7 linked regions of the Callithrix jacchus genome follow. The protein of the gene in region 2 interacts with the protein of the main gene of each other region in a pairwise test. Links are inferred from orthologs where the notes say so. Each region holds a gene or a part of one and is shown on either strand. Other genes may lie near its edges. The genes, in order: FABP4, VIM, PNMA5, ESS2, SMARCB1, SIRT6 and MRPL44.

Region 1 (4,422 bases), on a different chromosome or scaffold from region 2:
ACAATACATATCGTATGTATTCAAATTCAATCATTTAAAAACCTGTCTGAGGCAAATTAATTTAAAACATTATCAAAAACATCCCTCTATTAAGATTTGTCACTTTTATTTACTTTCCACCTGAAGGTCTTATTCAATGGGAAACAGGCAAATCACTAATAGCAAACCTACCTGGATGGTACATCGCCAAAGTCTATGTACCTATGCAACAGTCCAGAGTAGATGAGCGTTATTACTGTGCCATTAATAAATGCGAAGACTAACTTTATCAGGCTTTCATAGCGACTTGCTTTTCTACAGAAAATCCTGTTGTTTACAGAATCTCCTGCCGCAAACATTTTTGGGAAGCCCTCGGGATAGTTACACAGGCTTGTGAATCAATCATATGCTCAGCAGGTCCTGTTCAGTGGGATACACAGTGTAGTGACACATCACTCTGAAATACACTATTTTCTTTTTTTGCCACCAAATCTGGGTATGTTCGTGGGAATTTACAGCACATGTGAACATCTTCCATCATTTTTGCATGGGGTGAAGGGAATTGAAAACCATGATTACTTTAGGAAACTAATTTCACAGATTGGTCACTGTATAAAAGAAGGATATTGGTTTTGGTAGTTTGCAACCACACCATTTCTGATCTGCATAAATTTGGAACTCATAATACTGTTCAGAAATTGAATGCATTTTCTCAGTATGAGGAAAATATTTTAGAATGTGGCTGATTTTTCAAAGGATCTGTGAAATCAGTGCTATGCTCTCATTTAGGAGATGGAAAGAATGAGGTTAAATTATTATTTTAATAAAATCGACAGTCTAGATTCCTGGTAGGTCAACTGAATGTACTCTTAAAATCATATAAAACATTTGAAATTAGAAATATGGAGTACTTTTAAATGCCATTATTTATTTTGTTTTAATTGCCAGGTAATTTCTGAGACAGTACTGTCCCAAAGAGCCTTTGCAATTATGTAAGAATCTCCAAGGCAGTTCTTATGTTTCTCAATTCAAAAGAACCACACAACTTCAATTTAAATTAAAAAAAAAAAAAACAAAAGAAGGTCAAAGTTTATCTCAAAATAATTTCCCTTCTCTACACTGGGGTAAGTATGTATAGAAATAATAGGGGAAAATTCATACACTGAGCATTAAGCTATCAAAACAGGAATGTTTAAAATATCCTGTTAGTGGTTTAAAAATAATTTGTACTCTAAGTCCAGTGACTATTTTCCAGGGATAACCAAAGTTGAGAAATTTCTATTAAAAACATGACTCAGAGAAAAAAATGCAGAGTCCGGTAATGAAGGAAATGATTGGGTATCATTCCCAATTGGTCATTCCTAAGATCACATGTTCTGAACATCTTTAAAAGGAAGTTATCTGGACTCAAGAGGGTCACAGCATTCTTCTGAAAACTGCAGCTTCACCTTGAAGAATAATCCTAGAAAACTCACAAAATGTGTGATGCTTTTGTAGGTACCTGGAAACTTGTCTCCAGTGAAAACTTTGATGATTATATGAAAGAAGTAGGTAAGGAAATGCACTGGGGAATGAGTGGATTTATAACATTTTCTTTTGGGGAAAAGAGTTTATAGCTGTCTTTACATCAGTGTCTGGAAGCTCCTGCCAGAAATGAAAATGCTGCTTTCTACAGAGAGGCTCCACACATAGCAAGTGATAATCATTTGTTTCTAGAGAAATTCTGAACCAAAGCTACAACTAATGCTTCCTAAAGGTGTACCAATATTTAAAAAGTGTCTAAATGGAATGTTTATGGTCTTTAAAAACAACAAGATTCGACTTTAATTGCAAAACTAGAGTATCTTTGGTTTACATAGCTCTCTGCATGTTTTTCTTTCTTCCCCTTTTGCATATAAAATAAGCAATAACTTGGAAAAATGATATGCAATAATTTTCATTTGAAACTGAAAGCACTCAGTTTCCCTTAATGCAAGGCTCTTTTTCAGTAACTGTATGTTAGCCAATTATTCTCTTGTCTCAATGTCAATCCATTAAAATATGTGGTTGTTTTATGATAGACAAAAATCTTAATTTCAGAAAATGTGTTTCTTAAAGGGCTTAAATACTTCCTTTCACTAGAAACGTCATAGGATGCTGTAGAATCATCAAGTAAGTTAAAAAGAGAATGTTACGTTTGTAGGTTTTTAATTTTTTAGATGCTAATAACATTGTCAGCAGGTTGTTGGATAAATGTCTCTCAGATAACTATGGAGGTAAAGCAAAACAGGCAACTTCTCACTCAGGCAGCTTCTACTTTGAAAGCCTTTCTCCCTCAACCCCATGCAGGATAGTCCATGAAAGTCAGAACTGGGGTTATAAACTGGGGAGGAATTTTCTGCAATCTCCTTCTTAGGGTTTAGAATGTAACAGTACTGTACAGGCGTGTTAAGTGTTTTGAATATATATATGTATTTTGCTTATCTGTATTTTTTTTTGTTTTTAGATGATAGGAAAATTGCTGACTTTAGCATGAGAGAGACCTAAGTTTCTAGAATAAACTAAAGTGATTCAATAAACTAATTCATATGCACTGATACAGAAATGCCAGGATTTGGGGCCATTTAACTATTTATTTTTAGAAAAATTTTTATGCTTTTAATAGTTATATTTTCTAATAATACGGTATTTTTAAATTATAGACGACTGATGATAATTAAGGTCAATAAAATACCTCCTGCATGAAATCAGCTGCTCTAATTGAGGATGAGTGGGCAGGTATTGTCTTCATCACTCAAATAAAAGCAAAATCAAGCAAATGAAGTCTATGATTTTTCCCAAGGTCAGCCATTCCAGCATCATACTCAGTTTTGCCTCCATTCATGAAGCCGGCTCACTTCATACATTTAATATTATATTTTGTAACAGAGCCAGGACTTGAAGAAAAACCTGTGGTCATGTTTCAGACAGTTAAGTCAGAGCCTCAGCATTACTTATTTGGCACCATATGTCTCTCCCAGTTTTCCCCAATTTCTAGCCTTTGGTTGCCTTTAGTCAAAGAAAGAGCTTAGATTTACATGCACATGTTTAAAAATTCAAAACATCAATGACTGTCATAAATTCTGCATGACATACACAGTAGCAGCAAGTTACTTCTATGTTAGGATGTAAATTATTCATTCCATACCTTGCACAAGAAAATATATTCTCCTTTTTAAGAAAGAAGAGTTCACAACTTAGGTGACTGGAAATCCAAGTATTGGCTTCTAACCTATTCTAAACTAAGAAACAGTGATTTCTTAAGTGTTAGTTTTCACAATTTGATAACGAGTGCCTTTTTAAATGTCCCTATAAATTACTAGGAATGATATCCCCATTCTAAAACGTTATCAATGCAGAAAACATTTTTCCTTTTGTAGTAGTATGGGTGGCTTTTCTGTTTCCATGAAATCCATCAAAATCTACATTTCATGGTGGGGTACTTTGAGAAAGAAGCACAGAAATGTAGACGTGGCAACAAATGCTATGAAATGTTATTTTTGTACACTCAAAACAGACGAACATTTAACTAAATAACTATACATTATTTAGTCAAATAATTCTGTTGAAAATTATTTGTCCCTTCTTAAATGTAATGTTGAGTATCTATATAATGGTCAAGTGGCCTCGGGTATTTTCTTAAGAGAGAAAAATAATAGTGGTTAACATTTTAAATATATATCTTCCCAAAGACTTAAACTTTATACACATTTTTGTTGAAAATAAACAATGGGTCTCCTGAGAAGTTGCATCCAGACCAGAGAAAGGGAAGTTGAAAGAATAGGGCCTACACCTGTTGTTTCTCAGAGGTTGTGCTTTAGTTTGTTTTTTTTTTTTTTTTAAGTATTAGCCTGATTTTATCTGCAGGAGCTGTTTAAATTAGGCCTTTAAGAAACTCACTAGTGTCTTTTTTCTCTTACACACATGCACCTGTGTACACAAACACATTCTGTGACTTAGAGAAAATGTAAACCTGACATCTTTTCTTTTCCTAACTGTAGGAGTGGGCTTTGCCACCAGGAAAGTGGCTGGCATGGCCAAACCTAACATGATTATCAGTGTGAATGGGGATGTAATTACCATTAAGTCTGAAAGCACCTTTAAAAATACTGAGATTTCCTTCAAACTGGGCCAGGAATTTGACGAAGTCACCGCAGATGACAGAAAAGTCAAGGTAAGAAATAAGGAACTGGCACAGAGTACACGCCTGTTTTCTGAATCGCCACTGCTTAGAAGAAATCTCTCTTTTTTTTGAGACGAAGTCTTGTTCTATTGCTCAGGCTGGAGTACAGTGATGTGATCTCGGCTCACTGTAACCTCCGCCCCTGGGTTCAAGCAATTCTCCTGCCTCAGCCTCCCTAGCATCTGGGGTTACAGGTGCCCACCACCATGCCTGGCTAATTTTTGTATTTTTGGTAAAGATTG
Region 2 (3,388 bases):
AATAGAATACGCTATTGATCTTTTTTGAGAGGTTAGTAAAATATTTGTTATGTCTTTTTTAGGGCTTACCAAGTAAAAATGAATGTTTTCATTAAGTTGGATCTTTTTATCACCCACTCTTCATTCATTTTTTCCCAAAGATGATAGAAAAGTCTCAACAGTTTAATACTCTAAGAGTATAAACTGAACTCCAAATATAATTACTGACAAGATAAGCAATCCTCATGCATCCTTTAGAGAGAAAATAAAATCTTAGTTGCAAAAGTACATATTCTGATTTGGAATGTTGCCCTTTACAAATGGAAACATAGAAGGACAGCTGAATCAGCAAAAATTCATGTAGTTTCATTATCTGCAAGCTTGGTCAGTGATTCAGAAACAGGCTAACTGAACTGATACAGTAGCAAGTGAAAAAGACATGCCTTTATGAGAGGAGCCAAAGGAGTTTTAGAAGAAAACTCCATCAGAGAAAGCAAAGCAAATACATTAAGAATTACGTGTCTTTTCCATTTTTTCCTGAACTGAATCTTAGGCAATGCCCATATTCCTGAATTGGGCTATTATTGAATATAAATCTAGCCTTGTACAATGGATGCCAGATGGCTACATATTTGCTCTGGAGCCTAAGGATGAGATTCAGAAGATTCTAGTGGAGAAAAAAACTTAAACTCTTAAAGCATGAGTTTCTGTTCTTTATGTGCTCAAGTGTACATGAAGTTGTGAAATTTTGTCCATGTCTATTATCATGTTATTCCATGAAATTACAAAACCAATCTTAAAAATGTTATGACAGAGATTTTCTAGATTTCAAAAGTAATTAAATTAAATTAATTTTTTTGAGACAGACTGTTTCTCTGTCACCCAGGCTTGAGTGCAATGGCACGATCTCGGCTCACTGCAACCTTCGCCTCCTAGGTTGAAGAAATTATCCTGCCTCAACCTCCTAAATAGCTGAGACTACAGGCGTGTGCCAGCACACCCAGCTAATTTTTGTATTTTTAGTAGAGATGGGGTTTCACCATGCTGGCCAGGCTGGTCTCGAACTCCTGACCTCAGGTGATCCCCTGCCTCTGGCTCCCAAAGTGCTGGGATTAACAAGCATGAGCCACCATGCCCAGCCTTCAGTAAAACTTTATTTACAAAAACAGACAGCCACGGGCTGCAGTTTGCTGACCCCTGATCTATACAGGTTGGATTTTGTTGATTACAGGCATGAGCCACTACTCTGAGTCTTAAAAAGTAATTTTAAAATGTCACTGGTAAAATGTGGATTCAGTCATGATTGCGTACAGTTTACCACATTTGTAGACATTTATTTATTTTAAAATTGTCTGATCACCACCTTGAGTAAAACACAAGGGGTCATGATTAAAATTTATTAGTGAGCAGGAGAAAGCGTAGCATATGATAGCACTAAATGATTTCTAAACTTACTCAAGGGTGGTAAAATTTGTCAACACCTTTTCTATAGTAAGGAGACTAGGTTTAGATGGTTAATCTAAGATGAATAAGTGAGAGAAGCCATAGACTTTTACATCCTCCATGTCCTGTCTTTTCTCTGTTCAAAATAGGATGTTGACAATGCGTCTCTGGCACGTCTTGACCTTGAACGCAAAGTGGAATCCTTGCAAGAAGAGATTGCCTTTTTGAAGAAAATACACGAAGAGGTTAGTAGAGTGTCTTTCGGGAAATGAATGAAGGTAAGGCAACCCCCACAGTTGGCACAGCTGACCTTCTATCTGCTTTTTTTTTTTTTTTTTGCAGGAAATCCAGGAGCTGCAGGCTCAGATTCAGGAACAGCATGTCCAGATCGATGTGGACGTTTCCAAGCCGGACCTCACGGCTGCCCTGCGTGACGTACGTCAGCAGTATGAAAGTGTGGCTGCCAAGAACCTGCAGGAGGCAGAAGAATGGTACAAGTCTAAGGTAGGAAACAAGTCCCTGTGGCCTGCACAGAAGAAAAGCATTGAGTTCTCAAAACACCATTCCTGTGTGTAATTCCTATCCTGTAGCTCCAGTTAAAAGCTGGCTTTGACTTGTTGCTCACATTTATTTATTTATTTTTGAGATGGAGTCTTGCTCTACTGCCCAGGCTGGAGTGCAGTAGCATCATCTTGGCTCACTGCAACCTCCACCTCCCGGGTTCAAGCAATTCTCCTGCCTCAGCCTCCCAAGTAGCTTGGACCATAGGCGAGCACCACCATGCCCGACTAATTTTTGTATTTTTAGTAGAGATGGGGTTTCACCATGTTGGCCAGGCTGGTCTTGAACTCCTGACTTCAGGTGATCTGCCTTGCCTCAGCCTCCCAAAATGCTGGGATTACAGGCATAAGCCACCACTCCTGGCCATATCACCTCCTTCAGAATAGCAGATTCCCTTCCTCTTAACCGTGCCTCCAAGTAAACCCCAATGCCATACTTTGACCTCCACTGTGTTTAAATGAGTACAGTAGAGTGAACTCTGAAGATAGTAATGTCAGTGTTCCACTGCTCTTTCTCTGGCTTTCAAAACAGAAATTTAAGCCTATACTGGAAGACATTCAGTGGGAAATATGATCTTTTTTTTCTAAGAGAGTCAAGACTTGAATGGGAGCAATGTACATTTCTGTTTTCTCCCCGACAGTTTGCTGACCTCTCCGAGGCTGCCAACCGAAACAATGATGCCCTACGCCAGGCAAAGCAGGAGTCCAATGAGTACCGGAGACAGGTGCAGTCCCTCACCTGTGAAGTGGATGCTCTTAAAGGAACCGTGAGTACCAACCCTGCAGTAAAAGAGGGGAAATAATGACCCATTCTGCTGACTATGCTAATGGCGAAGCCTGAACAAAATGTTGAGTGAATAAAAATTTATACGGTAATGCAAAGAAAATGACTTATCACGACAAACTCAAAAAGGACTTGATGGCGCTCTTGAAGGTTTTAGCTTGTGTATATCATTGCTTCTCATATGAAGGACTTGGTACTTGCATTCTCCGCCTACGACTAGAGTAGTTGTCATTTGCCACTAATGGAAATTATTGCAAGAAGACTAAATGGTTCTGGGAATAGCTGGGTTTTTCTGAGCAATAACACCAGAAACCTTTCTCACCTCCTGCAGAACGAGTCCCTGGAACGCCAGATGCGTGAAATGGAAGAGAACTTTGCCGTCGAAGCTGCTAACTACCAAGACACTATTGGCCGCCTGCAGGATGAGATTCAGAACATGAAGGAGGAAATGGCTCGTCACCTTCGTGAATACCAAGACCTGCTCAATGTTAAGATGGCCCTTGACATTGAGATTGCCACCTACAGGAAGCTGCTGGAAGGCGAGGAGAGCAGGTAGGAGCTCAGGCTTGGATGCAGGAACCATTGGGCTCTAAGCACAGCGTCACACTTAATTTTTAGAAGT
Region 3 (4,560 bases), on a different chromosome or scaffold from region 2:
CATTTATTAAAACATTACCCAAGAAAGCTTGCTCTTTTTTTAATCACTAATAAAGAAACACACATATATTCTCTCACCACAGGTCCATAACTTCTGGCCCTGAAGCGTAATCATAGCCTTCAGACCATTGCTACACACAGCCTGGGCAGGGGTAGGCAGCAAGTCACCCGGCTTTCAGCAGAATCAGTCCTGCACTAGGCCTCCTCACTGAGAACTTGCATTTTTTAAAGATTGCCAGGGTATTTGTGTGCATCTTGAAGTAGGCCGTGAAATCAGGAGAATAATGGGAGAATAGAGTATTTTCAGTCATCTGGCTCTAAGTAAGCAGAAAAAAAAAATTATGGCCTTGTGAAATGCAGGCCGTAGCTGTATTTTTTACCTTCCTACCCCAGAACGCAGTCCAATAAAAAATACACAGGTGCTATGAGTTTCAGGTAGTAAGTAGGCTCACACCCCCTATTCATTATACGTGGCCTATATGCTGCACCCAGTGATGTGAACCAGGTCCTTCAGACACTGCTTGGGACACCACAGCTCCCCTCCAGTGGAAAAGAACCACAATGGCTGCTGGGACACATGGTAAATGAAGAGCCTGGGTGCCACCGTCGTCTAGCTAGTAAACTACAGGCGTGGGAGGTAGTCTGCAATGGAAGTGGCACCCAGTTGTTTTTATTGTCTGTTCTAAAAGGTGCGGGCTGGCACAGGCTCGCACGGGTGGTAGTGGGGTGGTGAGGACCCGTCGCATGGGAAGTAGGAGGGTTTGTGTCATAGGTGAGGAACTGTGAGTGGGCTGTGTGGAGTTACAGTGGGGGAGGGGGCGGTCATCACCCGATAGCCTCTTCCCGCGTCAGGTTGAAAAGGGGTGTGTGACTTTCAGGTAGTACACACGCTCACTTGGCCTATTTGTTACACATGGCTTATATGTTGTACTCGGTGATTTGCACCTGGCCCTTCACACACGGCTTGGTACGGCATAGCTCCCCTCCCACGGGAAAGAAACAGAATGACTGCTGGGTGACGTGGCAAGTGGGGAGAATAGCTGCCGCCATCGTCCAGTCAGTAAACTATAGACTTCCGAGCTAGTATGCAATGGAAGTAGTTCCCAACTGTTTGTATTGTATTTCCTCAAAGGTGAAGGTTGGCGCAGGCCGGCACAGTCTGGCAAGGGTTGGGGTGGGGTAAGGAATTCTTGATAGGGAAGTAGGAAGGTTTATGTGGCCACTGCACAAATGTGAAAGAGCCGTGTGAAGTTTTGCTAGGGTGGGGGTCATCACCCAAAAACCTCTTCCCGCCACAGCCTTTAACAGGATCTGTGATGTTGAGGTAGTACGTGTAGTCATGTGGCCTATTGGGTACATGTGGCGTGTATGAAGAGACTGGTGCTACCGTTGTCCAGCCAGTAAAGTACAGGCATCTAGTCTGTAATGGAAATGGCTGCCAGCTGTTTGTATTGTATGTTCTCAAAAGTGCGGGCTCGAACTGGTGGGGTGGGGGTGAGGAGTTGCTTGGCGCGGGAAATAGAATGCTTTATGTCACTAGTGCGCAACTGTGAGTGGGCCGTGTGCACTTCCGCTGGGCGGGGAGGCGTTACCAGACAACCTCTTCCTGTCATAGCCTGGAGGCGCATTCGGCACAGAGGCGGCAGCCGCCTTAGACGTGTGGTGGTCGCGCTGCGCGATCACTCCAGCTTACAGGCCTTTCTGACAGGTACGGAGCTGGGCCTGGTCATACAAAGCAACCTAGATTAGGGGGTATATCGCCAATAACTTGCTATTTTCCACAGGGCCTAGGAGTTGCTATCCATAGTTTTCCAGGCAGAACTTCTGGGAGACCTTAGGCTGGGCAGGCCGAGACGGGTGTATCACTTTAGGTGAGGAGGTATAGCCTACCCAAGATGGTGAAACTCCGTCTCTACTAAAAATACCAAAATTAGCCGGGCATAGTGTTGGGGACCTGTAATTCCATTTATTCAGGACAGTGACGCAGGAGAATAGGTTGAACCCTGGAGGCGGAGGTTATGCTGAGCCGAAATCATGCCTGCTGCACTCCAGCGTGGACAGCAAAGGGAGACTATTCGTCTCAAAAAGAAACAAATTAAAAAATACTTTCTGGAGGCCTGTTCCACCCTCAACTCTTGACCCTTGTCCGTGCAGAAGAGCGGCTTCGGATCTTCTCTCCTAGATCCTGCCGCCTTCCACTGGTGCTGGTAGTTGGTTTATGTAGATAACAGGGTAGAGATGGAGGGAAACGGGAACGGACGTACTGGATTTCGGTACAGGGGGTTAGACTTGTATGGCGTAAGTAGTTGGGCTTCGTGAGTGGTCACTCATTGCGGTACGGATTTGACTCTGGGTGCGGGCAGGATTGAGTTACGACTTAGACATGGGTGGGGGCAGGGTTGAGGCACGAGTTCGACTGTGGGTGCCTGCAGGATTGAGGTAGGAGTTAGACATTGGGGCACGGATGATGCACGACTTTGACTGCGTGTGGGGGCAGGGTTGAGGTAGGAGTTAGACATGGGTGGGGGGAGGGTTGAGGCACGAGTTCGACTGTGCGTGGGGGCAGGGCTGAGAAAGGAGTTAGACATGTGTGGGGGAGGTTTGATGCACGAGTTCGACTGCCAGTGGGGGCAGAGTTGAGGCACGAGTTAGACGTCGGTGGGGGCAGGGTTGAGGCACGAGTTCGACTGTGGTTGGGGGCAGGGTTGAGGTAGGAGTTAGACATGTGTGGGGGAGGTTTGATGCACGAGTTCGACTGCGAGTGGGGGCAGGCTGGAGGCACGAGTTGTACGTCGGTGGGGGCAGGGTTGAGGCACGAGTTCCACTGTGGGTGGGGGCAGGGTTGAGGTAGGAGTTAGACATGGGTGGGGGGAGGGTTGAGGCACGAGTTCAACTGTGAGTGGGGGCAGGGTTGAGGTAACAGACGTGGGTGGGGGCAGGGTTGAAGCACGAGTTAGACGTGGGTGGGGAAATGGGTTGGATTTCGTGCTGGTTGGGATTGCGGTAGAGGTGGATCTTAGGTGTACGCACGTGGACCTTGGCAACGTGTGGTGGTTATGGTGAGGTAGCTAAGCGATGCAACATGGCTGCAATGCCGTAGCTTCCGATCAACATGGCTGCAGGGGCGGAGCTTCGGACAACATGGCTGCAGGGGCGGAGCTTTGGAGCGAGTAGAGTTTGCAGTGGGGGTGGGACAACAACCTTATCCTACGATCCCTTCTGTCCTATCAGCAGCCCCCACCAGCCCCCACCCTCCACCTCCCTCACCATTCCTTCCCATACTCCCTCTTTCCGCACCCCTCCCCCTTCCTCCCTCCTCCTCCCTCTGCCAGTTGAGCAGTTTCTTCTGTGGCTGCGCCAGAGTACTACTGGACACCTTTGCAGAATCACAACTGCCGTGGCCTGAGCAGAGACGTGTGTGTGGGACACAATCACAACAAAATACCTCTGCTTTGCCTTGGACAGATCCAGAGAAGCAAGACCCGTCACTGCTAACTCAGTAGCTGCCTAACTGGACAGAGCTGAAGAGCGCAGCAAGTGTGAAGTGGCTGTTATTGCAGCTTCCACGCTGCTAGCAGAGCCAGCCCAGCAAGGTGAGCAGCTGTGAGGTGGGCTCTGGTGGGAGGGACTCTGGAACCTTGGCAAAGAGTGAGGAGACAGGACTCACTGCAGGGTTCGCAAACTCTGCAGGATAGGGCCATCGCTAGGGCAAGAGTTGTTCGTTTCCTGCAGTCTGGCAGTAGGGACCTTATCTGCGTCCCTTTTCTGCCCGATTTCACCTTCCACACAATTTAAACCATGAACTCCTGTCCTTCTTTGAGCACTCACTCCTCATGCCTACCTCCCCTTTCCTCACCTACCCTCCTTGTTGCTAGGATGCTGTATTGGATGAAGACCGATGACATCACCTGTTGCTTCTCAAGGGCCTTAGCCTCACCACATGACACTACCATACAATAGCAACCCATGGTCCATGGTATGCTCTGTATCCATGGCAACACTGCAGTTTCTCACACAATCTCCACACCCACCACTCATTTCATTGCGCAGAGCTCCGGCCATCTTTCTCCTCTGTCAGGCATTTCCTGAGAAACACGGCCACTCCACCTCTCCTGCAGCCAGCCTTCACTTCCATTCCAGCAAGGAGGGTGCCAGGTGACCTGAGCCCACATAGCCCTGAGTGAGCAGTGGGGCAGTCTCCTGACTTTTGCCTGGAGGGCTTGTCAGTGTCCTCAGGTGTCAGGCCCTGCCTCCTGACGTTGGCCTTTTCACTACAGGCACCTGCAGCACACCCGGCTGAGTCCTCTGGACATCGAGGAGGAACCCACAGCAGGAGGAGGTCAGCAGGGAGTGTGGTGAGGTGGGGGGATCTTTGCCTGGGGAGACCCACCACACTCTGTTCTCCACACAATGACTTGAGCCTTGGGTAGCAGGGACTCCATCCCTGCTGGGGGTGGGGGCAGAGGGAGGGGCACTTGGGAGTATACGTTGGGGTGGGCATTAGCAATGCTCTTATCCCATTTGCTTTGCAGGCTGTGGAAACCTGTGACACTCCTGCCTT
Region 4 (3,301 bases), on a different chromosome or scaffold from region 2:
TACAGCAGAAAATATTATAAATGAAACTAACGCAAATAACTAAAAACACATGTGCACGGCGTAGCGCAGTTGACTTGACACAGGTGAGGGTCTTCTGAGTGACAGCAGCAGAAAGGGAAAATCAATCCCTTGAGAGCAAACTAGGCCACAGACACACAGGGAATCTGCACCCGAAATAGACAGGGCCAATAAAGACAGAGATGTTCATTCTTAGAATCAGGGAAACACTAAAACATACACTCTTTTTCCTGAGAGATTGTCAGAGGTCATGGCTTTGGGAGGAACATGAAGATAGGTGAGGAGTGCTGGCCCCTGGAGAGGGCAGGTGGGGTTGGGGGCTTTCCAGGGGCTTTTAGAGGGAAGTCATGGTGGGTTGTGGGGATTGTGTAGGCCACAGGGAGAGGTTGGCGCCCACAACAGTGGCTCTCTGTATGAGGGACTGCCATGTGGCAGGCCTGGCACAGCTACCCACGTCTGATCCCTTGTAGATCCTGGAGCCAGGCCGCCGGGAACGGCTGGGGCTGAAGATGGCCAATGAGGCTGCTGCCAAGAACCGGGCCAAGAAGCAGGAAGCTTTGCGGAGAGTGACGGAGAACCTGGCCAGGTGAGGGGCCTCCTGGCCGCTGGGGAAGTGGGAGAGTGGCCCTGGCCTGCTCCTATTCAGCCCTTGCCCTGACCGTGTGGAGGCGTGGCCCATGCGGCAGAGTCCAGGGCAGATCCACGGGGTTCTTCAGTGGGTGCTGTGGCAGCTCCTCTTACCCAGAGCTTGGCCACACATGGACAGGACGAGGGCCCCTCCATCTTCTCTTTCCTCCACATCCTCTTTGGCCCGTCCCTAAGAGGCACCTTTTGGTGTGTGGTCCTGGTGGGAGCTTCCATCAGCCCTGTGGAGAGAGTCATCGTTCCCCGTGGAGAGGGGTGGGGACTCCAACTCCCAGAGGTCTGTGGGTCTACCCCAGCCCCCACAGCTAGGGCAGCATGCTGTTTGACCTCAGATTTGACCTGAGCGCTGCCGTTTGACCTTGGGGCTCCCTGGTACTTGCACCATGCCAGGCAGTGCCGTCCTCCTCAGCTCAGAGTGGCTGTGTCTCTGCCCAGGCTCTTCCTGGGAGCTGAGGGAGGCCCTACTGTCGGCAGCTCTCTGCCCATCTAACCCTGCCTCTCTCGCCCATCCCTCCACCCCAGCCTCACCCCCAAAGGCCTGAGCCCAGCCATGTCCCCAGCCCTACAGCGCCTTGTGAGCAGGACAGCCAGCAAGTACACAGACCGGGCCCTACGGGCCAGCTACACACCATCCCCAGCACGCTCCACCCACCTCAAGACCCCGGCCAGTGGGCTGCAGACCCCCACAAGCACACCAGCACCTGGCTCTGCCACACGCACCCCCCTCACGCAGGACCCGGCCTCCATCACGGACAACCTGCTGCAGCTCCCTGCCCGACGCAAAGCCTCAGACTTCTTTTAGAGCCAGGCCTGGAGCTGGGCCCATGGACACTTCATGGAATCTGCAGGGCAGCTGTCCACCCAGCAGAGGACTCCAGCCTTCTCAGGACCCAGGCCTGGGCCAGAAGCTGTTGACCCTGCCAGGAGCCACTGGAGAAGGGGACTGTACTGGAACCAGGCTGGCACAGGGCACACACCCCAGGGCCTTTCCAAGCTGTTTGCTACTTAATCGGCCCCTTGAACTGTCATTAAAGAACGCCTGGTACAGTCTGGTGGGATCTCCTCTCCGTCCTGCTCTCCACACAAGCCTCAGGGTTGCCCTGGGGCCTGCATCACGTCTCGGGACTGCAGGGCTTGAAGCAAGGGGGCCCCCCAGGCAAGGAAGCTGCAGGTGGGGTGGCTGTGGGAGCTCTGGGTGACTCTGGCATTGCTTTCTGCAGCACCTGGAACCTAAATTCTGAGCTGAGGTCACACACATCCTCTAGTGCTTTCTGCTCCTCTGGGGATAATATGAAGGAGAGATGGAGCCCTTGGAAGTTATACCGCTCAGGTTCACCTGCGGCTCTGGGCCCAGGTCTGCAGCCTCCAAGCTGGGCTTGCCTGCTGTGAGGTGCACTGGTTATAGGACTGTTTGGGAGTGCATATCAGGTGACCTCAGCCATCACCTTCTCCTAGCACCTGGCTTCCAGCTCAGATGAGGTGGGACTGTCTCATCTTCCTGCCTTTCTGCTCAGCCCTCTGTTACAGGCACTGCCCATCTTATGCTGCTGGCTTTGGCCTCACCTTGTCACTCCCACCAATAGGAACACCCAGGTAATAGTAACATGGGCCCCAGGCTCCATGCAGACCTGGCACATGCTCTGTGCACTGTGGAAGCACTTGGCCATGGGCAGCGGATGTGTGTGCCAGACCCTTAGGAGCCTGGTGGCCTTGTGTTTTAAGTTGGTCACTGAAGCGGGGACTGAGCCTGCTTCCTGTGGAGATAGAGAGGCCTGGCTCCTATTGGTGGGAGTGACAAGGTGTGGAGGTCACAGATTGTGCCCTCGGGGTGGGGGTGTCGCTGCTCAGGGACACGCTTGGCCTCTACTCACACCGGGGTCCTTCCTGCTTTGAGTGTGCCCAGCCTGTGCTAGGCGATCTTCTCTGGTCCCCTCACTCATTCCCTAAGTGCTGAAGTTCTCTGGAGGCCAGCACAGAGCCTGACTCTGCCACCTTCCTGGGCCCACTGCTAACCTATGCTCCTCGACAGTGAGTTCCTGCAAGTTCCTGGGGTAACTGAGCAATAGATGTGCCCTGGGACCTGCAGGTAGACGTAGGGGTGCTGGACAGATCAGGCTGGGACTGTTCATGAGTGGGGAAGGTGGGGCCTTTGGTGCTTTACCCCATAGGAAAGGGTGGCTTTTATCTCAAGGGAGTCCCTAGGGAGTGGGGAGGAGCCCTGTCTAGGTGCTAACCACCTCCAGCACTTGGCTGGCGAATGGGCTGCATGCTTCGGCAGCAGCGGGTGACCCAGCAGAAAGCACGAAAGACTAGCCAGTGCACCATCATCAAGGGCTGCTGAGCAGCTTACAGGGCCACTGGGCGGGGAGGGCACAGGGGAGGTGAGGTCTTAGCTGGGGCTGCCCCTGGAGGGCAGGGCAGGCAACGTGAGGGCTGAGGACAGAAATCTCAAATGACTGGGAAATGGAGGAAGAGGAGGATGCTGAGGGAGAGGTTGTGAGGGAGCGGGGGCAGGTCAGAGCAGGCTGAACTGCAGGAGGCCAGGGGGAGCTGTAGACCTCTGGAGCTGGCCAGCCTGGGGGCAATGGGGATAGAGCCAGGTCAAAGAGAGACAGTGGGGGCCTGGTGGGTGGACCCT
Region 5 (3,763 bases), on a different chromosome or scaffold from region 2:
AGAGGCACAGGGCTTTATGAACATGATCGGGGATTGGGGTGCCCTCATTTCTCTAAAAGGAGGCAGAAGTCCTCAGAAGGGCTGGGCTCCGAGGCAGTGGCGAGTTCTCCATGCAACTGCCCACCCTGATCCTCGACTTCAAAGCTAAGGGCCAACAGTGAATGGGAAGGTGCACCATGGCCTCCTTGCCCCGTGGGGCACTGGACAGCAGTGAGGGATGACTCCAGCCCTACACTCTAATGGGAGGAGCTTTGCAGGCATACACAGAGGGAATGAAACTGGACCCCAGGGTCCATCCTATTCAGAACAGCCATACTTACTCAGGGGGAGCGAAGTCAAGATGGTGCTGCCTCAGTGGGGCAGGTGTAGGTGGGAGATCCTAGGGTACAGTCTGTTCTCTCTGGCTGGGTGCTGGCTTCCCAGGTGTCCACTTATGAAAAATCCCTGACTGCACATGCGGGGCCTGGGCCCTCTGGCTGTGAGTCATGTGCCGCAGGAGTCCTCTGGGGAGTGTGGGAGCAGCTGACTCAGCACTGCGCTCCCCGCAGGCTGCCCTGCTGCCTCACCATGTTGGCCCAGGGTGGAGTGCATCTGTGAATATGCTAGGCAGGGTTTTCTGAGAGGGGCAAGGTCTGTGAAGGGCATAGACTTTGGCTTAAGAGAGGGCTTAGGATTGCCTTAGCTGAACCCTGCTTGGCCAGTGTAGTCATGTAAGACCGATGGCAGCAGGAGTGAAGGGCAGAAAGGAAGGTCCCCGCCAGCATGGGGCACAGCGGGGATGGGATGAAGGTAAGGTGGGACTCAGGTGCTCCTGGGGCCACTTTGGGGCCTCTCGAGGGTGACCATGCTGGGCCCTGAAGCCAGAGCCCCTTGTGGCAGGCAGGAGGCCTGTGGGGTCAGCCCTGTTTTGGGGGTGAGGAACTGGAAGGACAAGGGCTACCTGCAGTTATCAGCTGGTGGATCCTGGTGGGCAGGGCACATCCCTGGTCTGGCAGGCTCCCCTACCCTTGTGGCCTCCCTGGGCTGGGGACAGTCCTGAAAGCTCTAACTTGTGTCCTTTGGTTGTTGCCTCAGCTGAACATCCATGTGGGAAACATTTCCCTGGTGGACCAGTTTGAGTGGGACATGTCAGAGAAGGAGAACTCACCGGAGAAGTTTGCCCTGAAGCTCTGCTCGGAGTTGGGGTTGGGTGGGGAGTTTGTCACCACCATCGCATACAGCATCCGGGGACAGCTGAGTTGGCATCAGAAGACCTACGCCTTCAGGTAGGATCATGCACGAGTCTCTCCTTCCCTCCCTCATCTCCCTGCAAAAGTGTTTTGAGAAGGACTTGTCTGTGTGAGTGGTGACGCCTTCGAGGCTTTCTCAAGCTTTGCAGCACCATCTTGCTGGGGTCTGTGTGTTTGCTCTGTCCTCCGTCACCCTGTGTGTCTCACCAGTACTCTGCTCTGCCAAGTAGGGTTGGAAGCACCTAACACAATAGCTGGCAAAGACTTGAAGCTCTGTCAGGGTGAATCTCAAGTCCTCACCTCCAGGGAGCCCTGGGCCCACCCTTGCCATCCACCATTCAGCCATCCTGCCTCACACCCTCTCTCTGCTCTTGCCCAGACTGTTATTTGGTCAGGATGGCCCCTGCCCAGGATTCTTCATCTGTTGAACTTGAATTCTATCTTAAACACAAAGGCCCGCCCCAGCTCTGGAGAGTCAGGGGTCCCCTAGCAGCTCCTTCTTACTGCAGTGTCTCTGCCTTCGGTCAGTCAGAGAGCATTTGGTGAGTACCATGCTGGACTGGACCCCATCCTGGCTGCCCTGGAAGATAGAGACAGGTCACCTTGATCCCTGCCTGTAGCATTTGGGCTGGCTGAGATGGTGGAGGTGCAGACAGAACATTCCAGTCCAGTGTCCTCTGTGCAAGGGTGGGGATGGACCCAGGGGAGGCCCTCCTGTTCCTGGTAGGAGGTAGGAGTCAGAGTTAAAAGCGAGGTCAAGGCCCACTGCGGTGACTCACACTTGCAATCCCAGCACTTTGGGGAGCTGAGGTGGATCTCCAGAACCCAGGAGTTTAAGACCAGCCTGGGAAACATGGTGAGACCCCATCTCTATATAAAAAATACCAGAATGAGCCAGGCATGTTGGCGCATGCCTGTAGTGTCAGCTACTCAGGAGGCTGAGGTGGGATCACCTGAGCTCAGTAGGTCGAGGCTGCGGTGAGCCAAGATCATGCCACTGCACTCAAGCCTGGGTAACAGGGTTGAGTCTTCAAAAAACAAAACAAAAGCAAAGCTGAGCTGTCCTGGCTCAGCAGGACTCCAGGACTGGGAAGCCCTGTGGTTCCTAACCCTGTCCTCTGTGTTGGGTTGGGGGTGCAGTGAGTATCCCTACATCAAAACAGGATGTTCAGATTTAGTCCGCTCATCAGACTATCATCATCCACATCTGCAGTCACCACGTAGGGATGACAGCTTAAAATGCTACACTGAGGAACAAATAGGAAGGTCTGTTTTGCAAAGCCATGGCAATTAATGGGGCTTATTGGGATTGCGTCTGGCTTGTTTTCCCAGACATCCCGAGAGACAGCTTTCTGTGACTTCCTGTAAATCTGAGCAAGGAAGAAGGAATGAGAGCCACCCACGAGGCTCAAGAGCCCTGGGCCTGAGAAACAGCTGGGCCCCTGCCTAAGCGCCAGTGGTTTTGAGATCCTGTGACCTGCCCCCAGCAGCCCTGCCAATCACATGGTTCTGTTTCACAGATAGGGCAGCCCTGAGAGGCGGCTGGGGGGCTGGTGTCTGATACCTCCCTCTTCCCTCTGGGTGCCGCCTGGGAATACAGCTTTAGTGTCCATTCACCCTGCATGGAGCCATGCCCTGTGGCCGGAGAGCCAGTAGGGTGGCCTCACTCCACGAGAGTTGACTCTGCGGTCCCGGGAGACAGTGATGTTGCCCACGTCGACACTGAGCACCTCCTCCCCCAGAGGCCGATCCAGTCGGAACCCTCATTCTGGGCTCGAAGGTGCGGGTGGCAGACTAGCAGCTCCCAGCATCCAGGCGCTGACGGTGTCGACCCTCACCCAGCCCTGCAGCTGCAGACAGTGCCCACAGTGTGGGCTCAGGAGCTGAATTCCCCAGGGCCTCTTGACAGGTCCTCAGAGCATTCTTTCCTTCAGCCACCATAGCACCATCCCTCCTGCTCTGAACTGAAGGTGCCCTGAGCCCAAATTCCTTGCCAAGCTCCAGGCCCTCTGCAGTTTGCAGAATGGCTTCAGAGCAGGTCCCTTGGGGAGTCCCTGGTGGTGGCAGGTCAGGACTTATAGGCAGATGCCCTCTTTATCTTAGCTACCACCTAATGAGTTCCAATTGTGGAGCTTGAAGACATCATAGACCCTGCCCGCTGTTGTCTCTCATGCTGATTGTGCAGTTTTCAAATCTTTGAGGTTGAAGGCAAGGCCACCCTGCTGAGACCAGGGTGAGCACATGTCCCCATCACAGCAGCCGGGTGGGAGGGGCTTGGGGACCTGGGAAGTGTCCTGAGTGGCCTCTTAGCATTAGGAGGGCTGCGTGTGTCTTCCCACTCCCCGCACTAGAAGACAGCTGCAAGGACAGGACAGGACAGGACAGGACCTTAGGGATGGGCTGGCTCATCCTTGACTCCAATCCACGTTCCCTCCACTGCACCACCCCACCCCATGGGATCTTAGGAGGGACTTTTTTTTTTAACTCTGTCCCCAGGGAGACGAGTGTCAGTCCTGCCTGGGGAAATGATGGGC
Region 6 (4,501 bases), on a different chromosome or scaffold from region 2:
GGGGCCCTAAAGGGATCCTCCAACCTGGGCCTCTCCCACCTCCTTCCTCCGTACCTCCTGCAGCTCCAGTGCCCCGAGCTCCCGGCCGCAGTGCCCACTGCCGACTCCGGTTACCCACTCCCAGCTGGGCCCCGAGAAGCTCCAGCAGCTCTACTCTGACACCTGATCAGCTCTGAGCGGGCGGCCGCCCCAGGGGGCTGGGGATGAGCCGAGGGAGGAGACAGGCTGGCAGCGGCTCTGGCGGGAAGACACCCACGATCTTCCCTATCATCACTGGACTGATTTCAGATTCTGGAAGGAGCCACGCTCTTCCTGTCTCCTCAGCCTTTGCACTTGCTGTTTCCCCCACTGGGAACATTCTTTCTATATTTCAAGTCACTCCCAACCGGCTCTACCTGACTCATGCACTCTTTAGATCTTTGCTGCAACATCCCCTCCTCCAGGAAGCCCTCCTGGATGCCCCCAAGCTGGGTCAGGTGCCTCCTGTGAGCCCCCTCGCTGCCCTGTGCCCTCTGCATCCCCCATTGCACCGCAACCACACCATGTCACCATTACCTGATCACATCTTTGTGTCCACCCCCAGCCACCAGGGCAGGGACGGTACCATCTTTGTTCCCCAGTGTGCCCAGTGCACAGTAGGTGCTCAACACATGATTCTTAAATAAGCCCTCCAGGCCACCAGCCCCAGTGACCACGAGCAGGAAGTGTCCTGCAAAATTCAGAGCCTCCACTTGTATGATATTCAGATAACCTGGCCCGGCGCGGTGGCTGACGCCTGTAATCCCAACACTTTGGGAGGCCGAGGCGGGTGGATCACCTGAGGTGAGGGGTTCGAGACCAGCCTGGGCAACATGGTGAAACCCCATCTCTACTAAAAAACACAAAAATCAGAAAAAAGAAAAAAAAAAATTAGCTGGGCGCGGTGGTGGGCGTGTGTAATCCCAGCTCCTCGGAAGGCAGAGGCAGGAGAAACGCTTGAACCCGGGAGGAGGTTGCAGAGAGCTGAGACTGCGCCATTGCATTCCAGCCTGGGCGACAAAGCGAGGTTGTCTTACAAAAAAAAAAAAAAAATTCAGATAATTCAGGGTGGCATTCAAGACCCTTGGACTAGGGGGTCCCTGCTGTCTGGCACTGTCCTTATGGAATTTACTAACACGTAAAACGGGGTTATGGGGGCATCGATAGCCTGCGTCCCTCATTTTAGAGGTGACTGGAGGACTCTCACGTAGGCGGCCGCCCCAATTTCCCGCTCGGGTCATCGGGCAGCCCCTTCCCAAACCCCGAGAATGCCTGCAGCCAAGAAATCGGGTTTCCTTCCGACAGCAGTTAACATGGCTCCTGCGGCGTCAGCACGCGGCGCATGCGCCTTGCCGAGGGAGGCAGGGTTCGCGGAACAGGAACGCGGCTCCTCCTTCCTCCCCGCCGCGCCCCGCTTCCGGCGGAAGCGGCCTCAACAAGGGAAACTTTATTGTTCCCGTGGGCGCGGCGAGGATGTCGGTGAATTACGCTGCGGGGCTGTCGCCGTATGCGGACAAGGGCAAGTGCGGCCTCCCCGAGGTGAGCGCATCCGGGGATCCCGAGGGTCGCTCCCAACGCCGTTGGCAGGGAGGGTCCGGACGGCAGCAGGGCATTGTGGGAATATCAGGAGACACTGAGGCTAGACAATGGGAGGGACTTCCCAGTGAGGAAGGGGCGGGAAGTGACACCCCTGCGCACCCGGGGACGCGAACACGCCCAACTCTGTGGCCACCGGCCGGGGCTGGTCGGGGAGAGCGGGGGTGTGTAGTTCCAGGAGGAGGGGACGGCAGGCGCAAGGGCAGGGTGGTGGAATAAACGCACCTGGAGAACGATTAGGCCGGGGAGGTTTCCAGAGCCGGGCCAGGGCGGGGCTCAAATGCCAGGCTGGGGAGTTGGCACCTTCTCCCGAGGGGGATGGAGAAGGGTCTTGCCCTGGCGAGGGGCCTGGACAGAATGTGCCAGGAAGATCCCTCCAGCCACTCGGAGGGGAAGTGGAGGGGTCGGCTGTCCCCTCCGCGCCCGGTGGGAAGTCACTTCAGTTCTGGGTCCCCATCCCCATCCTTTCTGCGGAGGCTGTCGCCTGCGTGAAGATGGCCCCGTCCCATAAAGGCTGACCCATGCATTCCGAGTCTTGCATTTAGTGAGCGCTGACGGTGTGTCTGTCCAGAAGCCGCGCTCTTCATTGCTGCTGTCAGTCACTTTATTTATTTACCTACTTATTTTGAGGCGGAGTCTTCCTCTTGTCACCCAGGCTGGAGTGCAATGGCGCGATCTCGGCTCATTGCAACCTCCACCTCCTGGGTTCAAGCAATTCTCCTGCCTCAGCCTCCCAAGTAGCTGGGATTACAGGCACGCGCCACCACGCCCGGCTAATTTTTGTATTTTTAGTAGAGACGGGGTTTCACCATGGCCAGGATGGTCTTGATCTCTTGACCACGTGATCCGCCCACCTCAGCCTCCCAAAGTGCTGGGATTACAGGCGTGAGCCACCGCGCCCGGCCTGTTAGTCACTTTCTTCCACCAACATTGATGGAGCACCTGCTGTGGGTCAGGCACTTTCTAGGTAAGGGGGCCACAGTCAGGAGCAAGACAAGTTAACCCCTCTTTCTAATAAGGGAGACTGACTAGGGGTTGTATGGAAACCAGGTGGCCAAGGGAGGCGTCACTGTCGCTGAGGTGACATCTGACCCACAAGTTACAGGAGGTGAAGGAGGCATCCATGTGGGTATCTGGGGGAAGAGCACTCAAGGGTGTGGGGACAGCCTGTGCGGAGGCCTTGAGGCAGGACTGTGCCTGGCGTGATGGAGGAAGAGGGAGGAGGCCTCCCTGCGTGGCTGGATCAGAGTGAGTGACGCTGGGAAGGGAGCAGAAGAGAACATGAGGGGGCAGGGCTAGGGCTTTAACAAGGCAGGTGGGAGCCACGGAGGTCTGTAGGCAGAGGACACACATGAGGACAAGCTGCCTTTTCCAATCTATTTCCTGCCCCAGGCAAGAAAGGGACAGCTCGGTCTGTGGCTCGTGTATGGCCTGGCCACTTGCGGGACCTGTTCTGACCCCTCCATCTGCTCCTTCCCCCTACAGATCTTCGACCCCCCAGAGGAGCTGGAGCGGAAGGTGTGGGAGCTGGCGAGGCTGGTCTGGCAGTCCTCCAACGTGGTGTTTCACACAGGGGCCGGCATCAGCACCGCCTCTGGCATCCCCGACTTCAGGTCTGTGAGTGAGTGTGCAGGGGACATCGGGGCAAGGCCCACCAGCCTGCCACGGCCTTCCCCGTGAGCCACACAACTAGGCATTAGGGCCCATCCATCTTCCTTCCTTCCTTCTGGATGTGTCCTGGACACTGGGGAGGGCTGATATTCCCTCCCTTTAGGACGTGTCCCTTGAAATCACAACCAGCATTCCACTCACCCCCTTGGCCTGATCACACCTGGCTGGAAAAAAAAAAAATCAGAATTCCAAGGCGTGAATTTTTCCTCCTCCTCCTCTTCCATAACCTGCTGTGGCTCCCCATTACCAGGCAGGAAGAATTCTGAATTCCTGGTGCTGGAAGCTCAAGCCCTTTGTTCCTGGCCCAGCCCCGAATCACCTCTCCAGCGTCAGCTCCTCCTGCCCCTGCTACAGCCCCCAAACACTTGCATTTTCTCCTAAACTCATGGGTTCTTCCCAGCACCCCGGCGTCTGTTTACCCCTTCTGTCTGATATTCCCTCTCACCCTTCAAGAGACGCTCAGACTCCTCCAGGAAACCCTTCCACATGCCCCAGCGTCCCCACCACCTCCACTGGCCTTCCCCAGGCCCAGGTACCTCCTCTGATCCAGTCTTGACCCCGTGGGGCCAGAGGGTCTGTGTCCACCTGTCTCCCCCAAGATCAAGGGTTTCTGGAGGGCAGGGCTTGGGTCCATGTGCCCTGCCAGGCTCAGGGCAGCAGCAACCAAGTTGATTGAACTGAATAAGTCATTTTTGCCTTCGTGTGAATTCATCTCTCCCTCTCTCTGTCTCTCCCTCTCTCTGTCTGTCTCCAATTCTAACTTGACTTTGTCTTTAACTCGTTATATCTCTGTCTCTGTCTTATTCTGTCTCCCTCTCCCTGTTCTTCCAAATTTACCCTCTATTTCTTTCCGACTCCCTCTCTCTGCCTCCCTGCCTCTCTCTCTGTCTCCTGATTTTCTCTCTCTCCGTCTGTTTTTCTGTTCCCCTCTCCCCCTCCATCTCTCCCGGCCTGCCACCTTCAGGGGTCCCCACGGAGTCTGGACCATGGAGGAGCGGGGCCTGGCCCCCAAGTTTGACACCACCTTTGAGAGCGCACGGCCCACGCAGACCCACATGGCGCTGGTGCAGCTGGAACGCGTGGGTCTCCTCCGCTTCCTGGTCAGCCAGAACGTGGACGGGCTCCATGTGCGCTCCGGCTTCCCCAGGTAACACCCTGGCCCCGCCCCCCAGGACTGCTCGGGGCTCCACAAACCGTGTTTACATTTTTAGGGGGA
Region 7 (3,763 bases), on a different chromosome or scaffold from region 2:
ATTATGTTTTTTACTGGCAAAATCAATTCTGCTTTGAATGTTCATAATTTCTCAGTTATCTTAGTCATCTAAATAATTAATAGTATGTCGTGGTTTTAAAAGATAGTTTATGTGAAATTATTAAATGATTTTTTAAAAATTATTTTTTATTATTGTTTTTTGAGACAGAGTCTTGCTATATTGCCCAGGCTGGAGTGCAGTGGTGGCACGATCTTGGCTCACTGCAGCCTCCACCTCCCTGGTTCAAGTGATTCTCCTGCCTCAGTCTCCCTTATAGCTGGGTTTACAGGCATGCACCATCATGCCCAGCTAATTTTTGTAATTTTAGTAGTGAGAGAGTTTCACCATGTTGGCCAGGCTAGTCTCCTGGCCTCAAGTGATCTGCCTGCCTTGGCCTGCCAAAGTGCCAAGATTACAGGTGTGAGCTACTGTGCCTGGCTGAGTTTTTAAAAACATTATTAATGGAGGAGGTATTTTTATTTGAGTGCCATTTTACATGAGTTTCTATCAAAAGTTATTACTTTTTATTTGTTAACTCGATTCTTTAAGTATTTTTTTCTTACCTGTAGGAATATAATTCTAATTTACAAGATAGGGCAGGGCGCGGTGACTAATCCCTGTAATTCCAGTGCTTTGAGAAGCCAAGGCAGGAGGATCCTTTGATGCCAGGAGTCGAGACCAGCCCCAGCAACTTACGGAGACCTCATCTCTATAGAAAGTTTAAAAACTAGCCGGGTATGGTGATTGCTTGAGCCCAGGAGGTTGAGGCTTCAGTGCACGTGAGATCAGGCTTCTGCAGTCTAGCCTAGGCAACAGAGTGAAGCCCTGTCTCAAACAAGAAAAAAGGAGTCTTCCTGCTGTGGCATTTTGGTGGATCATACTGCTTGAAATAGGTTTCTCGGGCTTTCAATTTTTTTTAAGCCAATTATGATTTTTGTAATAAAATTTATGTAAAAACTATGGGAATGAAAGAGAATCGCACATTTTTGTCTTTCATTTCCCATTGTTTTAAATTTCTGTTAACAATGTACTTTGTTACTTTTCTAATTTAAAAAGTGTAAAAAATGTATTTTGAATTGTGGTCCTAGTGTTCTTTATACTAATTAAAATGTATAAATTATATTTTTATATGCAGGACTTCTTAATTACTCAAATGACTGGAAAAGAGCTCTTTGAGATGTGGAAGATAATAAATCCCATGGGGCTATTGGTAGAAGAACTGAAGAAAAGGAATATATCTCTTCCTGAATCAAGACTGACTAGGCAGTCTGGTGGCACCACAGCTTTGCCTTTGTATTTTGTTGGCTTATACTGGTTAGTGAAATTTTAATCTTTATAACTTTGAGGAAATCCTAAAAACAGACTCCTCACAAAGCCTTAAAAACAGACTCTTCACATTCCATAACGAATGTTAACATAACCTCTTAAAATTCCTTCATTTGAATTGCATTAAAAGATTTTTTTAAAAATCTCTTCCCTGTGGCTATTTACTGCTCCCTTTCCTGCTAGTTATTCTTAGGAGGAATCTGAGTTTTGCTAATTGTAGCTTTTGTCTGCCAACTATTTACCATAGACTTTCAGTATGTTATCTTAAATTTTTCTGTGTAAAATTACAAATGAGGCCAGGCACAGTGGCTCACGCCTGTAATGCCAGCACTTTGGGAGGCTGAGGTGGGTGGATCACAAGGTCAGGAGTTCAAGACCAGCCTGGCCAGCATGGTGAAACCCCGTCTCTAGTAAAAATACAAAAAATTTGCTGGGTGTGGTAGTGTGCACCTGTAATTGGGAGGCTGAGGCAGGAGAATTACTTGAACCCAGGAGGCGGAGATTGCAGTGAGCTGAGATTGCTTCTCTGTACTCCAGCCTGAACGATAGAGTGAGACTCCATCTCAAAAAAAAAAAAAGTACAAATGTTGACTTCATGTTGCATTTAACCTTAATCCATTCTTGTCAGTAGCTTCAACCGAGCCTAGAACTGGAAAAGGAAGGGCTTAGGTGTCCATCAAAATGTATAAATCACCCCATGTTGAGAGCTTTTTAGTTTTGTTAGTAAAAAGTTGACCTGCCCCAAATTAATTTCAGATGTTAAGATTAAAGTGTTAAGTGTAAATATTGAATATTTTTTAAAAAGCTAGATTAAAATTTAGTAAAGATTTTTCTAATCCTTGTATCACAAAAGACTAAAAGTATAAAAGAAATAGAAGTTACCACATGGGGAAAATTGATAGTGCTGTAAAAAGTTTCCTTTTCAGTTTACTCCTTGTTACTTATCTGATCGGCAGACCTTTTAAACATATCTTTTGTCACCGGTTTATTCACTGCTGGTAGAAAGACAATGTACTCAGTATTTCTGTGAATAATTTTGACAAAATGCCAAGCATCTTAACATTTTTTATGTTCTTTGATTATGGTATTTCAATTTTTGGTTGTTTGCCGTAAATTTGCAGGCAAATTTTGTGAACAAAGACATTTGTTGTTTTCATACCTTGAACAGTTGCTGGGACATGGTGGTCAGTAAAGAGTTGTCGAACTAAAAAAATAAATAAATAAATTAGAAATAAATGTGGTATTCCACAAGAGAGAAATGATATATGCACATGATGACTATAGTACAGCTGTTATAGGTGACATTTTAAAGGAATTTTTAATGAGATCAGGACATTTTGGAGAATGATCTTTTATCTAAAAAAAAATGTAAGAAGTAATTTGCCATATTACTACAGTGATTACTATTGGGTAGTAGTGTTTTTGTAGATCTAATGTTCTTTTTTTTAAATTTTAATTTATTTATTTATCTTTTTTTTTTTAATTTTTTGAAGAGGTCTTACTATGCTGCCCAGTCTGGTCTTGAACTCCTGGGCTCAAGCAATCCTGCTTTGGTCTCCCAAAGTGTTGGTGTTACAGGTGTGAGCCATCACACCTGACCTAAAGTTCCTAATTTGAAATATAGAACTGGTTTCTCATTTGTGTTCAAGTTTAGATGGCAAATTCAAAAGTCATAATTTTTTCAGCGGAATATTTTCCCAAGTTATATCACACATTAAAAATATGAACAGTCATAATTCCTGATAATATTTTTAGTAGTTTCAGGTTTTTGGAAGGAGATATTTGTTTCCATATTCTTCCAATTTTCATCAACAATTGAAAATGTAGATACTACTTGCTTTTTTGGACTTTAAAAATAGAGTTGTATGTATTTCTAAGGAAATGAAAATGTATCTTTGTCTAATTACCATATGTAATGAACTTGCAACAAAGCTCGTTAAAATCCAAAAGGTGATCTATCAAAGCTATTGTGTTACTTCTAATGGGTGTTATTGAAATAAGATGTAGAAAGCATAATTGCTTTATAATTGCTTTGTGTACTGTCTTATCATGTTCCAGGTGATTTAAGACAACTGTTTGTTCTCTTTCTAGTGATAAAAAGTTGATTGCAGAAGGACCTGGGGAAACAGTGTTGGTTGCAGAAGAAGAGGCTGCTCGGGTGGCCCTTAGGAAACTTTATGGATTTGCAGAGAACAGGCGGCCTTGGAACTATTCCAAACCAAGAGAAACGTTGAGAGCACAAAAGACCACTGCCAGCTAGCCAGCCATGATGTGGAGCCTGAAATGTGAGAGCAAAAGTCAGATAAATGTCAAAGGTGTTTCAAGCTAGATATTTTCAAAATTGTAAAGAAATAGGTGTTTTGGTTTTTACTGTGTTTCTAAAATTAAATAAATGTTAACCAAGTCACAGTGCTTTTGGTTTTGTTTTTTTAAAAGC

What was found.
Region 1: the proteins of VIM (region 2) and FABP4 interact in a two-hybrid assay, tested with the Homo sapiens proteins (2 studies listed by BioGRID and IntAct). The link is inferred for Callithrix jacchus from reciprocal best matches to the Homo sapiens genes VIM and FABP4.
Region 3: the proteins of VIM (region 2) and PNMA5 interact in binary tests that used the Homo sapiens proteins (3 or more experiments, as listed by UniProt). The link is inferred for Callithrix jacchus from reciprocal best matches to the Homo sapiens genes VIM and PNMA5.
Region 4: the proteins of VIM (region 2) and ESS2 interact in a two-hybrid assay, tested with the Homo sapiens proteins (2 studies listed by BioGRID and IntAct). The link is inferred for Callithrix jacchus from reciprocal best matches to the Homo sapiens genes VIM and ESS2.
Region 5: the proteins of VIM (region 2) and SMARCB1 interact in binary tests that used the Homo sapiens proteins (3 or more experiments, as listed by UniProt). The link is inferred for Callithrix jacchus from reciprocal best matches to the Homo sapiens genes VIM and SMARCB1.
Region 6: the proteins of VIM (region 2) and SIRT6 interact in a two-hybrid assay, tested with the Homo sapiens proteins (2 studies listed by BioGRID and IntAct). The link is inferred for Callithrix jacchus from reciprocal best matches to the Homo sapiens genes VIM and SIRT6.
Region 7: the proteins of VIM (region 2) and MRPL44 interact in a two-hybrid assay, tested with the Homo sapiens proteins (2 studies listed by BioGRID and IntAct). The link is inferred for Callithrix jacchus from reciprocal best matches to the Homo sapiens genes VIM and MRPL44.

Annotation. Positions count from the first base shown.
Region 1 is NC_133517.1:45,225,299-45,229,720, forward strand, and holds the start of FABP4 (fatty acid-binding protein, adipocyte), read left to right. Parts: upstream 1-1,393; 5' UTR 1,394-1,457; coding exon 1,458-1,530; intron 1,531-2,668; exon of another isoform or gene 2,669-2,699; coding exon of another isoform or gene 2,700-2,736; intron 2,737-3,998; coding exon 3,999-4,171; intron 4,172-4,422.
Region 2 is NC_133508.1:18,041,818-18,045,205, forward strand, and holds part of VIM (vimentin), read left to right. Parts: intron 1-1,571; coding exon 1,572-1,667; intron 1,668-1,764; coding exon 1,765-1,926; intron 1,927-2,623; coding exon 2,624-2,749; intron 2,750-3,097; coding exon 3,098-3,318; intron 3,319-3,388. UniProt on the Homo sapiens protein: Vimentins are class-III intermediate filaments found in various non-epithelial cells, especially mesenchymal cells. Vimentin is attached to the nucleus, endoplasmic reticulum, and mitochondria, either laterally or terminally.
Region 3 is NC_133524.1:149,111,028-149,115,587, reverse strand, and holds the start of PNMA5 (paraneoplastic antigen-like protein 5), read left to right. Parts: upstream 1-1,623; 5' UTR 1,624-1,707; intron 1,708-3,464; 5' UTR 3,465-3,592; intron 3,593-4,035; exon of another isoform or gene 4,036-4,179; intron 4,180-4,276; 5' UTR 4,277-4,338; intron 4,339-4,531; 5' UTR 4,532-4,560.
Region 4 is NC_133502.1:210,759,836-210,763,136, reverse strand, and holds part of ESS2 (splicing factor ESS-2 homolog), read left to right. Parts: intron 1-488; coding exon 489-604; intron 605-766; exon of another isoform or gene 767-878; coding exon of another isoform or gene 879-884; intron 885-1,185; coding exon 1,186-1,465; 3' UTR 1,466-3,301. UniProt on the Homo sapiens protein: May be involved in pre-mRNA splicing.
Region 5 is NC_133502.1:192,663,315-192,667,077, reverse strand, and holds part of SMARCB1 (SWI/SNF-related matrix-associated actin-dependent regulator of chromatin subfamily B member 1), read left to right. Parts: intron 1-1,074; coding exon 1,075-1,265; intron 1,266-3,763.
Region 6 is NC_133523.1:3,924,469-3,928,969, reverse strand, and holds the start of SIRT6 (NAD-dependent protein deacylase sirtuin-6), read left to right. Parts: upstream 1-1,467; 5' UTR 1,468-1,491; coding exon 1,492-1,557; intron 1,558-1,701; exon of another isoform or gene 1,702-1,778; intron 1,779-2,406; exon of another isoform or gene 2,407-2,581; intron 2,582-3,099; coding exon 3,100-3,227; intron 3,228-4,249; coding exon 4,250-4,432; intron 4,433-4,501. UniProt on the Homo sapiens protein: NAD-dependent protein deacetylase, deacylase and mono-ADP-ribosyltransferase that plays an essential role in DNA damage repair, telomere maintenance, metabolic homeostasis, inflammation, tumorigenesis and aging.
Region 7 is NC_133507.1:145,706,344-145,710,106, forward strand, and holds part of MRPL44 (large ribosomal subunit protein mL44), read left to right. Parts: intron 1-1,135; coding exon 1,136-1,314; intron 1,315-3,417; coding exon 3,418-3,586; 3' UTR 3,587-3,763. UniProt on the Homo sapiens protein: Component of the 39S subunit of mitochondrial ribosome. May have a function in the assembly/stability of nascent mitochondrial polypeptides exiting the ribosome.